Caenorhabditis elegans: one gene and its partner. The protein of the gene in region 2 interacts with the protein of the main gene of each other region in a pairwise test. Each region holds a gene or a part of one and is shown on either strand. Other genes may lie near its edges.

The links. The genes of interacting proteins can lie anywhere in the genome.
Region 1: the proteins of zipt-2.3 (region 2) and cyb-3 interact in a two-hybrid assay, tested with the Caenorhabditis elegans proteins (one large-scale study listed by BioGRID).

The regions. Positions count from the first base shown.
Region 1 is NC_003283.11:15,393,216-15,398,582, forward strand, and holds cyb-3 (G2/mitotic-specific cyclin-B3), read left to right. Parts: upstream 1-2,480; 5' UTR 2,481-2,497; coding exon 2,498-2,543; intron 2,544-2,595; coding exon 2,596-2,690; intron 2,691-2,741; coding exon 2,742-3,164; intron 3,165-3,213; coding exon 3,214-3,707; intron 3,708-3,752; coding exon 3,753-3,852; 3' UTR 3,853-4,133; downstream 4,134-5,367. Other genes in the region: T06E6.1 (WD repeat-containing protein 74), read right to left, coding at 1-409, 720-1,019, 1,069-1,375, 1,425-1,549, 1,592-1,735; fbxa-199 (G-protein coupled receptors family 1 profile domain-containing protein), read right to left, coding at 4,170-4,305, 4,347-4,477, 4,843-5,054, 5,105-5,328. UniProt on the Caenorhabditis elegans protein: Could be involved at the G2/M (mitosis) transition. Interacts with the CDK1 and CDK2 protein kinases. G2/M cyclins accumulate steadily during G2 and are abruptly destroyed at mitosis. Plays a role during oocyte meiosis II.
Region 2 is NC_003280.10:13,711,925-13,718,688, forward strand, and holds zipt-2.3 (Zinc transporter ZIP3), read right to left. Parts: upstream 3,956-6,764; 5' UTR 3,920-3,955; coding exon 3,839-3,919; intron 3,333-3,838; coding exon 3,202-3,332; intron 2,832-3,201; coding exon 2,567-2,831; intron 2,339-2,566; exon of another isoform or gene 2,278-2,338; intron 2,228-2,277; coding exon 1,850-2,227; intron 1,200-1,849; coding exon 1,095-1,199; 3' UTR 982-1,094; downstream 1-981. Other genes in the region: kqt-3 (Potassium voltage-gated channel subfamily KQT member 1), read left to right, coding at 609-821; sre-46 (Serpentine Receptor, class E (Epsilon)), read right to left, coding at 6,261-6,710.

The DNA.
Region 1 (5,367 bases), on a different chromosome or scaffold from region 2:
TCTTCTTTTTCAGCACTTTCTTTGTAGTCTTTTTGACTTCCGCCTCATCTGAATCTCCCTCTTCCTCCTTGATTTCATCCGCTTCCAGGACATTTTTCCTCTTCAACTTTTGGGAATTTTTCGACGGCACCGCAATTGTTTCAGATGTAATTTGAATTTCCTCCACATCGTCGTCGGATGATTTTTTCGCCCTTTTCACCGGTTCCATCACTCCCCACACGTCATCCTCCTCAATGACGTCATCATCATCTTCGTCATCCTCATTTTCAGATCGATATCCATCTTTGGTCATATTTCCGTATTCCGTTTCATCCTCATTAATCTCCTTTTTCGATGCAGGCTTTTTGTCGTTCAAAATTGATAAATTATCACGGAGTAGGACACGATTCAGGCGCGTTTTGCAGTAAATCTGAAAAAATTGAGGGTTTCTTGGTTTTCAGAGATTTTTTTTGTAAATTTTCACGAAAAAAAACAGTGCCGCACAGAAATAGAGACAGAGCATGATTTCGCAATTTTGCAGCACGGGTTTTTCTCTGATTTTCACTGTTTTTTGTAGATTTTTCAATAAAGTTTCAATTTTAATTGTTTCGTTATCTTCTTTTTTTTGATTTGTGCAAAATTCACGGATTGATTGCTTAATTGAAATCAAAACTCCACGTAAAACGTGATGAAGTTCGCGAAAATCTTCTTTTTCAGCCGAAAATTGTCATTTCTCGAACCTTATGAATCAGCTTCCTCGATTGCAAATCGTGTACTCTCAAAAATCGATCAATTCCAACGGAAGCAGCCAGCGGCAGTGTTGGATGAGCTGTGATGCTCCGGATAGATCCGGCTTGTCCCTTGAACTTGCACATCGGATGAACTTTACTGCGCAAATCGAAAAGTCCCATTTCTCCGATGGAATTTGCGGCGAGTATTTGATTGGTTTTGTATGTGAGCGAGGTACACATTATCGGATTTTCCATAAATGGGATCTTCTTGACGGGTCGGCGTTGAGCGCGTGGATCGTAGAGGCGCATCTGAAAAGAAAAATCGTTTTTAAAATTATTAATTTTAGTAGAAAAGCACCTCGTGAAGCTTTGTGGCCTCGAGAATCGTGTTCTGTCCTGGAATAAATCTTGCATCTGTAATCATGATAGGAATTTCCAATCCGAGCATATCGGGCGGCACATTCTTAGCGCTCCACGTCTGCTGGCCGGTCTCCAAATTCCACGTTTTCAGAAGATTCTTCATACCGCCCGTGACGATTTCTGGCTTCTCGGTGGATCCCCGCATGACGGCAACTCCTGGACCGGTCTTCCACTCGGACAAGATTTCAGATTTGTCATTCCAGATTTGCAGTTCGCCGCTTTCAACGCAAGTGACGATTTTTTCACTGAAATATTTAATTTTGAGATTTGAAACCACGGTTTTTGTATGATTACTCTGCTTTATGCAGGCCTTTGATTGGTCCAGTGCCTCCGGTAACTGTTAATATCGATACAAGTTCGTTTTCTTCAATGCCAAGTAGCTGCAGATCCCGATTTACTCGAGCGATCAGGATTTCAGTCTGAAATTCAACTTTTAAAATAATTTATCGACCATAACTAACCTGTTGCTCGTCATTCCAGATCATCGAGGTAATCTCATCGCTTTTCGGGTCAAGGGACTTGATTTCATTGAGATTTTGGAAGGTATTCTCCTTCAAAATTGCTCCTTTCAGAGCGCCAGTGGTTGCTCCCACGTAGCAGTCCATTTTACCTGAAAAATTGATGAAATAAGTCGAAAATAATTATTTCTTCGAGAAATTAAGCGCAGATTAAGGTTAAATTGGGAAATAACTCTATTTTAGCGAGAACAAAAGTAAAATTACAAGAAAAAATGCGAATAAAAATGAGAAATGCAAGTGCGCTCTGCCGAACAAGCGGCAGATTTGAATGCGATTTCTGCAATTTTATCATTTTTTCCATTATTGAATCACTTTTGAGTACATTTAGCTTATTTTCAATTGTTAACCTATTCTCTAAAAGAACAATTGTAAGTATTTTATTTTCTGAAAACAATTGTTCTATTTTTCATTCTTTAAAACCCCTAAAATATCTGATTTTCTTTTAATCAATATTTCTGAGGACAGCAAATCACATTTTTGGAGTTTATACAAAACACTTGAATGTTATTTTCTTATCAATAAGCACATTTTCTATCAAACCCAGTTCACTTTCAAATTTTTCAATCACTTTTTTCTGAACTTTTAAGCATTTTTGTCGACAGTGAGAAATATCGCCGACCGTACTCCGAGGCATGTGCGCTCCACCGAACGGGGGGCAATTTCAAATACACCCCGCGAGACCCACCAAGAGGGCGGCAATTTCCAGTGTTCACCATCGTTTGCCATTTGCTCTCTGCTCCCAAAAATCATCATTTTTTTGGTTTCATCGCTTCGCAGTTTCCGTTTAATATTTTGTCTCCATTTTCCCCACTTTCAATGTAATTTATTTCAGTATTTTCAGCATTCAAAATGATGCTGCGAAGCCAGGCCAAGAATGTCGACCTGACTTCACAAGGTGAGCGGATTTCCTCGAAAACTATTTATAGATTTTAAATTTTAATTTACAGCAGATTCTCGGCATCAACAAAAACGAAAGCAGGCTGAGCAATTGGATGCTCTAAAGAATCCATCGGAACCGGCAGCCAAGAAGCAACACAGCAAGGTAGAACGAGGATTATCGATTTTTTGGGCCTTCTCAAATTAATTGTTTCAGGGTCTCACCGAGCTCCGCGCACACATCTCTGGATTTAAAATCGACTCGGCAAAGCGAGATCCACTGGGAAAGTCGAGAACGAGTAGACGAGACGTCGAGAACCTTCCACCGCAAAAGTCCAGATATGTTGATCCGTGTCCTCATTACGATTACGACCTCGAGGAGGCCGGAAACCCGGACAGTATCTCGGACTATGCTCAAGGGATTTTTGACTACTACAGACACCGAGAAGTTCACTTTCGAGTGAGAAAGTACCTTCACAAACATCCGGAGGTTGACGTCAAGACTCGTGCTATCCTCATTGACTGGATGGTTGAGATTCAGGAGACATTTGAGCTCAACCACGAGACCCTTTACAACGCCGTTAAGCTCACGGATATGTACTTGTGCAAGACGAAGAATGTTGACAAAAACACCATTCAGGTGAGATAAAATCCAAAGTAGTCTATTATTTTTATCAATAAATTTTCAGAAGCTTGCATGTGTCGCCATCTTCATTGCCGCCAAGTACGATGAGCGATCTCCACCACTCGTCGATGATCTCATCTACCTTTCCGGAGATCGCTTCTCCCGCGATGAGCTTCTTGCCATGGAGCGTGAACTCTTCGCCACCGTCGGATATGATCTCGGCTCACCACTGAGCTATCGGTATCTTCGCCGCTTCGGTCGTGTCTGTCGTGTCGATATGAAGACACTCACCATGGGACGCTTCATTCTGGAGACATCACTGATGGTCTACGAATACGCTATGGTCTCACAATCCCGTCTTGCCGCCGCCGCTTTCGTCTTGGCCATGCGTATGCTCGACAAGAATAATGAGTACGAGTGGAATCCAGTGCTCGAGAAGTATTCTGGATTCACTGGAGAGGAGGTGATGCCACTGGTGGAGCACATGAACCACATTCTTCATTTTTCGAAGGACAAGTGGGCTCAACTCACATCCGTTCGCCAGAAGTATTCTCATGAGTGAGTTTTTGCAAAGAAATATCGATTTTTAATATTTTTTTCCAGAGTATTCTTCCATGTCGCCTCGATCCCAATGCTCCCGGATACCCTCAAGGTTGTGGATTCCCACACATATGCTCCAGTCCCAATGCTCTCATACCCATAACTAATCCTAATTTATTCCCGTATTGGATTCTGAATCCCCTCTCAACTGTTCACCCACCAAAACTTTCAAACGATTGACACCTATGCCTCTTTTGATATATTTTGTATACGTATTGCAATTCTCTTCTGTATTCCATTTAACTCCTGTCATCTCTCACAAATACACATACGCAATTTTGGCCTGATTTTGTTTTTTGCTTTTAAAAATCTGAACATATTGCAAAATTTCTACCAATTTTTAAACACATTTCGAGCTACGCCAAAATAAATTATTTTTCCGGCAAATTGTTTATTGATGGTGTGATTTCAGATTAATGACTAATGTGGAGACTTGAACTTGATCGGCGCAACTTTACAAGCGGTTTTTGTCCTTACAGTGCTGACAACGATAACTGCGGAGCCTGTAGAAAAGATTTTACGCCAAATTTCAGAGTTGAAAACGAGGGTTATTATTCTGAAATTTGAAATTTTCACAATCTTCATTGAATTTCTCACCCATCGAAGCAATGAACTGCTGCCCATAGAATTGAAGAAAATATGAATGTGAATTTTTTGTCAGGCAGCAGTCGAGGTCCCCATGTGAAACAGCAAACAATTATTAGTACAAACAAAGTTTGGCTCAAGGACTGAAAGTTTCATTTTTATGCAATTTGCGATGATAGTTTATTATGGGGCCGCAGAAAAACGCTCCATTTGAAATCAACGTGGAAACGCGCTCCACGGGCAATTGAAAATGCTCCGCCCCCAACAGCTGGGTCTCGTTAGGTATTTGGCGGCAAAACCGTGAATTCAAACGTTTTCAATTAAATATCTTTTTTTGTTATTTCAAATATTTTTACGTCGAAATTGAACAAGATGAACAGTTTTTTAAAAAAATTATCAATTTCGATTCAAAAATCAATAAAAATGACGGAAAAACGTTCGAATTTACAGGTTTCGCCGCTAAATACCTAACGAGACCCATTTTTTTGCATTTCCGTAATAACAATACCTGCTTCAGCCAGTTCAGCTCAATCGAATTTTTAACCGACTTCGTCCTCAATTTTGCCACCTTCCAAATGGCAGAAAAATTCAAAAATGCACTAGTGATTGTTAGTGTGAAAACTTGATAAAAATCTCCATATGTCCCATACCAACGGCAAATTTTTCCACCGGAATATTGAAATGCTAGATATTTAGCATTATAATAATTTTGGCATCCTACTGAAAGAATATTTTTGCTTATAATACGATGTACGATTTAGTGAACTTACAAATTTGGAAGAACAGAGTTATTAGGCCAAAGGATAATAAATATATTCCCATGACAATGTATTTGGTGAATTTTATATTGAACATTTGATTGTAAAATATTGGTGTGAATACGGATAGAAATCTATTTAGTGATATGATAAAATGAAAGTATGTTGAAGCTTTATAGCAGATCATAAGGATATATCCACATAAATGTGACCAATATGCGAGATATTCGTTTACGCTGAATTGTTTTTGGAAATTAGTTTGGACTGAAGAATTC
Region 2 (6,764 bases):
GTCAGAAATGTTGCGGAATTTGGAAGAAAATGAAAAAAAAAAACAATTAAAGTTCTTAAACTGTGAGATAAGAAATGTTTTGAACTATTTTTGGTCCAAACTGTACCGTCAATTTCATCGTATCTAGAAAGTATCCCTACAGTAACCCTACAGTAACCCTACCGCACCTCTGATTTTATATAACCTATCCTACAGTAGCGCAGTGTTCCTACAGTAATCCTAGAGTAAGCCTAGTACTGCTACCCTACAGTAGAAAAAGGACCCTTCAGTAATCCTACAGTTCCCCTACAGTAACTCTACCGTACCTCTATATTCATAGGACCCCTACAGTACCCCTAGCGTAATACTGCTACCCTACAGCAGTGAAGGGATCCTACAGTAAGGCTACAGTAACCCTACAGTACCCCTAGCGTACCTGTGATATCATCACTTTTACAGTGTCCCTACAGTACCCCTCCCCCCCCCCCCCCCTACATTCCCAACCCCTATACCTCCAAGTATATCGTACTACTACAGTACCCCCCTCCTACCGTACCTCTAAATTTATAGGACCCCTACAGTACCCCCAAACTACCGTACCCCTCACTAAAACCCTCTCATTTTTTCAGATGTCAAGCCTCGACCGAAAAGTGGAGTCTAGTAACCGAACACTGAACGCTCTCTATCGCCTAATGGCCGACCGGAACTCGCTGACGATATCTCCATCACCGCCGGCACTGATAAGTAGGCCAGTGTCGCCTGCCGCCTGCCTATCACCACGAGATCAACTCTCGCCGACAAGCATCAGCAGTCAAAGATCCGGATCACCGGGCTGGCAGTAATGTGTATCGATTGATTTTAGGGGGCATAATTGTGGCCAAGGTTTTTCACGACCACGACGCATCAACAGCGGGTATTTTTCATTGATTCTTTTCATTTTCTCTTACTGTGGTTCAAACATTTCTGGTTTTGTATTCAAAAAAAAATTTCAAGACAAAAAAAAAAAATAATAAGTTTATTTTTTCTTTAAATGTTGTTTTCAAATCTACCGGTATGTCAGATATGACGTATAATATGCAAGGTGTTAAGAAATTGTGAAACAAAAAAAAAAAAGATTAGGTAGCCCAAATCATGTTGACAGCGAGAAGGGCGAATCCTCCAAAACTGGCGATCCACTGAAGGATGTTGGAGTGGTTGTTGGCACGTTCTGGGGCAAGGATCTGGAAGAAAAAAGATATATGAATGGGGTTAATTGTAGGTAAAGTGGCTTTACAGTAATCCTACAGTAATCCTACAATAAACCTAGAACTGTCACCCTATAGTAGTATAGTGTTCCTACAGTAATCGTAATACTACTACCTTATAGTAGAAAAAAGCTCCTACAGTAATCCTCCAGCAAACCTAGAGCTGTCACCCTACAGTAGTAGTGTTCCTACAGTAATCCTACAGTAAACCTACAGTAATATATTGTTCCTACAGTAGTCCTGGTACTGCCATCCTACAGTACTAAAGAGTTCCTACAGTAATCCCACAGCAAACCTAGAACTGTCACCCTACAGTAACAAAGTGTTCATACAGTAATCCTACAGTAACTCTAGAGCTGTCACCCTACAGTAGTGTATTGATCATACAGAAATCTTAATACTACCACCCTACAGTAATCCTACAGTAAACCTAGGACTGTCACCCTACATTAGTATAGTGTTCCTACAGTAATCCTAGAGTAAACCTAGTACTGCCGCCCTACTATAGTACAATACCCCTAAATTAACCAATACATTAACCCCACATGGCCGCCTTACCATAATACAGTACCCCTACAGTAATTCTACAGTAACCTCGCACTGCCACAATAGTGTCTTAAACTCACCTCAAAAAAGGAGATATAGAGAAAAGTGCCGAGGGAGAAGCTCATCAAAACCGCCGTCGTGATATCCTTCGGCGTCTGATTCATATTCGAGCTGGAGATCAGAATTCCAGCTGTTCCGCCGATCACGTTAAACAGTGCTAAAACCAAAATAAGAATTACGACAATCCAACTGCGTCGCGGATGAGTTCTCGTGAGCTTCATCCCAAGAGAAAACATGACGATCGCCTTATGCATGGCGATTCCCAGGAAGATCGACGTGACTGAAACTGCATCCTCTTGAATTCCAAACGCAAAGCATTCGAAGAAGACGTGAAGGATGAAGGCCGAGGTGAAGATGATTGATTGGCGTACCGGACCCTCACCGTCGTCGTCGTAGTTCTGAAAATGTATGCTTACTTAAAATGCTCATAACTCCGCTAGGCCAACTATTATCAAAATTTTGTTAACTAACAAAATATGAAGTTTTAAATTTTCTATATTTTGTTAGTTGACAACTTTTTTACTTTTCAAGCCTCTAAAAAGTTATGACCGTTTGAAATATAGACACGTCTCCAGATTTCTTTTTTGAAACCCTTGTAGATCAAAGTTAAAAATACTATACATTTTGTACATTTGCACATAGTCTGTCATATTCTTATCACCACTAAGTTATCAGTTTCCAGTTCACTTCAACGAAAAGCTTTTAGTCCAACCAAAAAAAAAGTTCACTGAACCCACCTCTAGACTTCTCTTGCACGGCTCCACTAAATTCCCCTCCACATTGAAAATACTGCCTACAGTAGCTAGTCTCGCACGTGGAAATGTCACATTGGACTCCATAATTGGATCATTTGAATGTGAATGCCCATGGCCTACATTACAGATCACACTGGATAACTCTTCGGTGAGGTAGACGAAGAAGAAGCCGAGTAGGGCGATTAGTTGGACGAATGGGTAGTCACTGGTGTAGTTTGTGTCGGTTTGTACGGATTCCCAGGCTTCTCTGAAATGCTTAGTAGACGTTCTTGCATACATACATGTTTGCTTGGTGGCCGCGAAAAAAGAAAACTCGTCCACCGATTTAGAAATTTTTTTAGCAGTTTTTCAGGGTTCTTTGGGTTTTTTTTCATAAAAATTTAATTTTATTTCCACGACCAGATGGCATTTTTTGTGATTTAAGATTTTTTAAAATTATATTTCCGTTTGAAATTGCAAGAAAAAATTTTTTTGGGAAAAAACTAGGCCACCAAATTAAAAAAAATTTCAAAGAATTTTTGGAGCGATTTTTTTCAGAATTATTAATTTCTTTCCGCCGTTTTTCTTCCAATTTTTGAAAATTATTCACAATTTTTTCCAATTTTTTCCAAACTTACAAGCAATCCGGTAGCATATCCAAAAAGCATACAGACAGGAAAACTCCTCCGGCAAAACAGGAAAATAGTGAGAGAATAAGGGAAGAGTGTTGGTGAATTGCACTTTTCGTCGTGTTCAGGTAGGAAATTACCTGAAAAAAAATTGAACAATTTTATCTTGAATTGCTGTATTTAGCCTGAGCCTTGGCCTAATAGTAAGCCTCAGCCTAATAAGCCTAAATAGCGTCAGTAACGCGCTAACGCTCGCCACTGACGCCAAGCTTAAGCCTAAGCCTAAATAAGCGTAAGCCGAAGCCTAAGTCTAAGCCTAAAAGCCTAATCCTAAATCTTAGCCTAAGCCTAGGCTTAAGCCTCAGCCTAAGCCTAAGCCTCAGCCTAAGTCTAAGCCTCTGCCTAAGCCTAAGCCTCAGCCTAAGCCTAATCCCCTTTTGGAGAATGATCCTACTTGCCTGCCTGCCTGCTTTAACATACGTTTGCCTTGTGTCTACAAAGTAATCTTTTAAATGGAATTAGTAGGTAGGTAGGCGTAAGCAGGTAGGCAGATAGGCAGGTAGGCAGGCAGGTAGGCATAATCAAGGCGTTCAGGCATTTTATTTGCGTAAAAATTCAAAAAATACCCAATATTCAAAAATCTTACCTTTATCGGTAATAGGCCAAAAATTATAGTCATCAAGGCCATAACTCCGAGCATAATCCATTTGAGCAACTCCAAAGACATATTTTGTTCGACCTAAAAATCTGTTGAATGAGTTGATTTCAACTAGAAAAGAGCACAGCAAAATTGATAAGAAACTAGGGCGGAGAGGTCGGGAGAGGCCTTTTTCGATAAGGCCTGGCACATATAGGCCTATCGAGTTTTATAGGTTTTTGCCTGTTTCGTCATGAATTGACATTGTCGTGTTTCGGTGTTTAAGACGGTGGGGCTTTTGGAGTGTATTACTAGAGTTGATGAAAATTAAACACATTTTATGACTTTGATACTGATGTGTACGTTGAACTTGCCGGTTTTTTAATCTAGAAAATTTAAAAAAGAGACAATTTTTATCCTATCATCCTTTTTTTCCGTATTTTTCCACAATTTATTGTTTTATTTTGTCACAAGCTTTATAGGCAACTTTTTTTTTCAACATTTTAAAAACTTGTTCCTTGTCTGAAAGGTTTCTTTCTAGTGATCTGCGCCTTCAAATTTTTTTTTCAAAAGAATTTCAGTTCCTCTAGGAACTTGGCAAGAAATTGGCAAAATTTCTAGAACTTTTTGGTAATCCTACAGTACCCTACAGTTCCCCTATAATACCCCTAAAATACTCATACATTACGCTTACAATACTTCTACAGCACTTCTTTAGTAACCCCACAGTAATTCACGAGTAGTCCTACAGTAATTATACAGTAATCCTTCAGTAGTCACCCTAATGTACTACTACAGTAGTTTTACATTAATCATACAGTACTCTACAATAATTCTATACTAACCCTTCATAACCCTACAATACCGTACAGTATTCCTACTGCCCTCCTACAGTAACCCTACAGTATCGTTCGAGAAAAAAAAAACCTGAATAGCTTAATTATAATTGAATTTCCGCGCCTATTTTTTCGTGCAAAATTCCAGAAAGAAACCAAAAATGGCTTAAAACCGGTATTTTCAAATTTCCGTGTATTTTTTGCATTTTTTTGCGGTAAATTTTTTGAAAATTTCAAAATCGAATATGCAATTTAAAAATGTTATGATTGAAGGCTTGAAAAAAAAACTATTTAACAAATTCAAAATTGAGCCGCTTAAAATGCCAAAACAGTTGTAAATAATAATTTGACAAAAACATCATCATTTCAAAATGAAAAATGTAGAAAACATCCTGCTTTTCAAGCCGTGTGGGCAAATAAACAAATAATAAAGAAGTACTTAAAAACAAGGTTAGCGCCACGTCACAGAACAAGTATCGTGGCCGCCAAACGGAAAAGTTCGGCCACCGAGAACAATTACTTTATTTTTACAGTTGACAAATTGCAAAACGATTATTTGAAGCTTTGAAGCAATGGAACAGAAAATCGAAATTTCCCGGTGATTTAGAAAAATCGCAAAATTTTCCACGAAAATTCCTCCCTCTATATGTATTTTACGATCATATTTGCGAACACCTGTAAAATATTTTTATTGGTTTCGGGGTGATGCGGTTACCGTATTCTAGTTGATCGAAAATGTTAAAAAATTTCAGTGATAATCATTTGTTTTTCTATTAGTTTTTAGTGAATGGAGAAGAATGAGCCATATTTCATCAAAAATTGGAACTTAAAATTTTACAAATAAAAGTGTGTGTTTTTTTTTTTTTGAAATTTTTATTCCAAAATCAGGAGTCGTTTTTGAACACTTCCCTTTTTTGCTAAAATTTCTTTGACATTTCAGATCAACTTGCGATTCGTTTATTTTGTCCCCTCGGGGGACTGGGCCGAGCCCGGCAGCAGTGCAACGCCAGGACGACTCTTGGGAAGTCGGAGCAAGCCCCGAGTCTTCCCTAGGTTCCAAAAATCATATAACCTTTATTACACTCATTCGAGTGTATACCGTAGGTTAATACGATAAGAACAGATACTACACTTTGATCTTAGCTAATAAGCCGAAGAAGCGATACTGAATGGACGAGGCGGCAGAGGTAGTGGGGAGCTGTGTACCGACACTTAAGGGGTGCGCGTGTGCCATTATGCAATGAGCGCAGGCAGAGGTTGGTTGCCTTTTTTGGTCTACAAAAAATGCGGGATTTTTACCCACCAGACAGATGTGACGTCGGCTGAGAAATCGGTCTCTAAATACCCGCAATTCTCGTAGATCAAATCGGCACACCGACACCACGTGCCATTCGCGTTTGCGGGGCGTGAAAAATCTGTAATTTCAAAATTTCGTGAAAAGCCGATGTATAAAGAAAATCGATCAAACTTATGTAAATTCAAATTTTCAGAAAAAATCGATAAACCGGGGTTGTCCGAAGTTTGAAAAATTAACAAAGCAACTACAGCACTTCAAATAATTTTCTTTATATTAAAAAAAATCAATAAATCAATAATTAAATCCATGTATTCGTTAACTGATTAAAATGAATTTCCGTTTCCTTCATCAGCTCCAAATTTTTCACCGTACTAACATGTGGTGTTATAGATGTATTTTCTCGTTTTTTCTTCAATTTTTTGCATAAAAACGTATGATTCCGAAAAGAATCCACAGAATATAGAATCGCCGGGCACATCACCAAAGCCGATAGATTTATAACTGCTTGCATGCAGAGGTTCAGCAGAGAATCGGCTTGCGGGAATATATTAAAGTATAAGGCGAAGCAGGTGGTGAAGCCGAATATCAGGATACCAATTAAAGATATAAGCACCATCCGGATCATGTTAAAGCACTTGACGTTCTCTTTGGCCTGAAATCTTGCCGCCAGGGTGTAGTTGGACTGGTGAGCGTAGTCTTCGTGGATTCGCGTGATTTTCAGGTTGTAGTGGCGGGAGTAGAGGAGCAGCTGAAAAAAAAATCAATGACTTTGGGGAAATTTTCCGGCAAACCGGCAATTTGG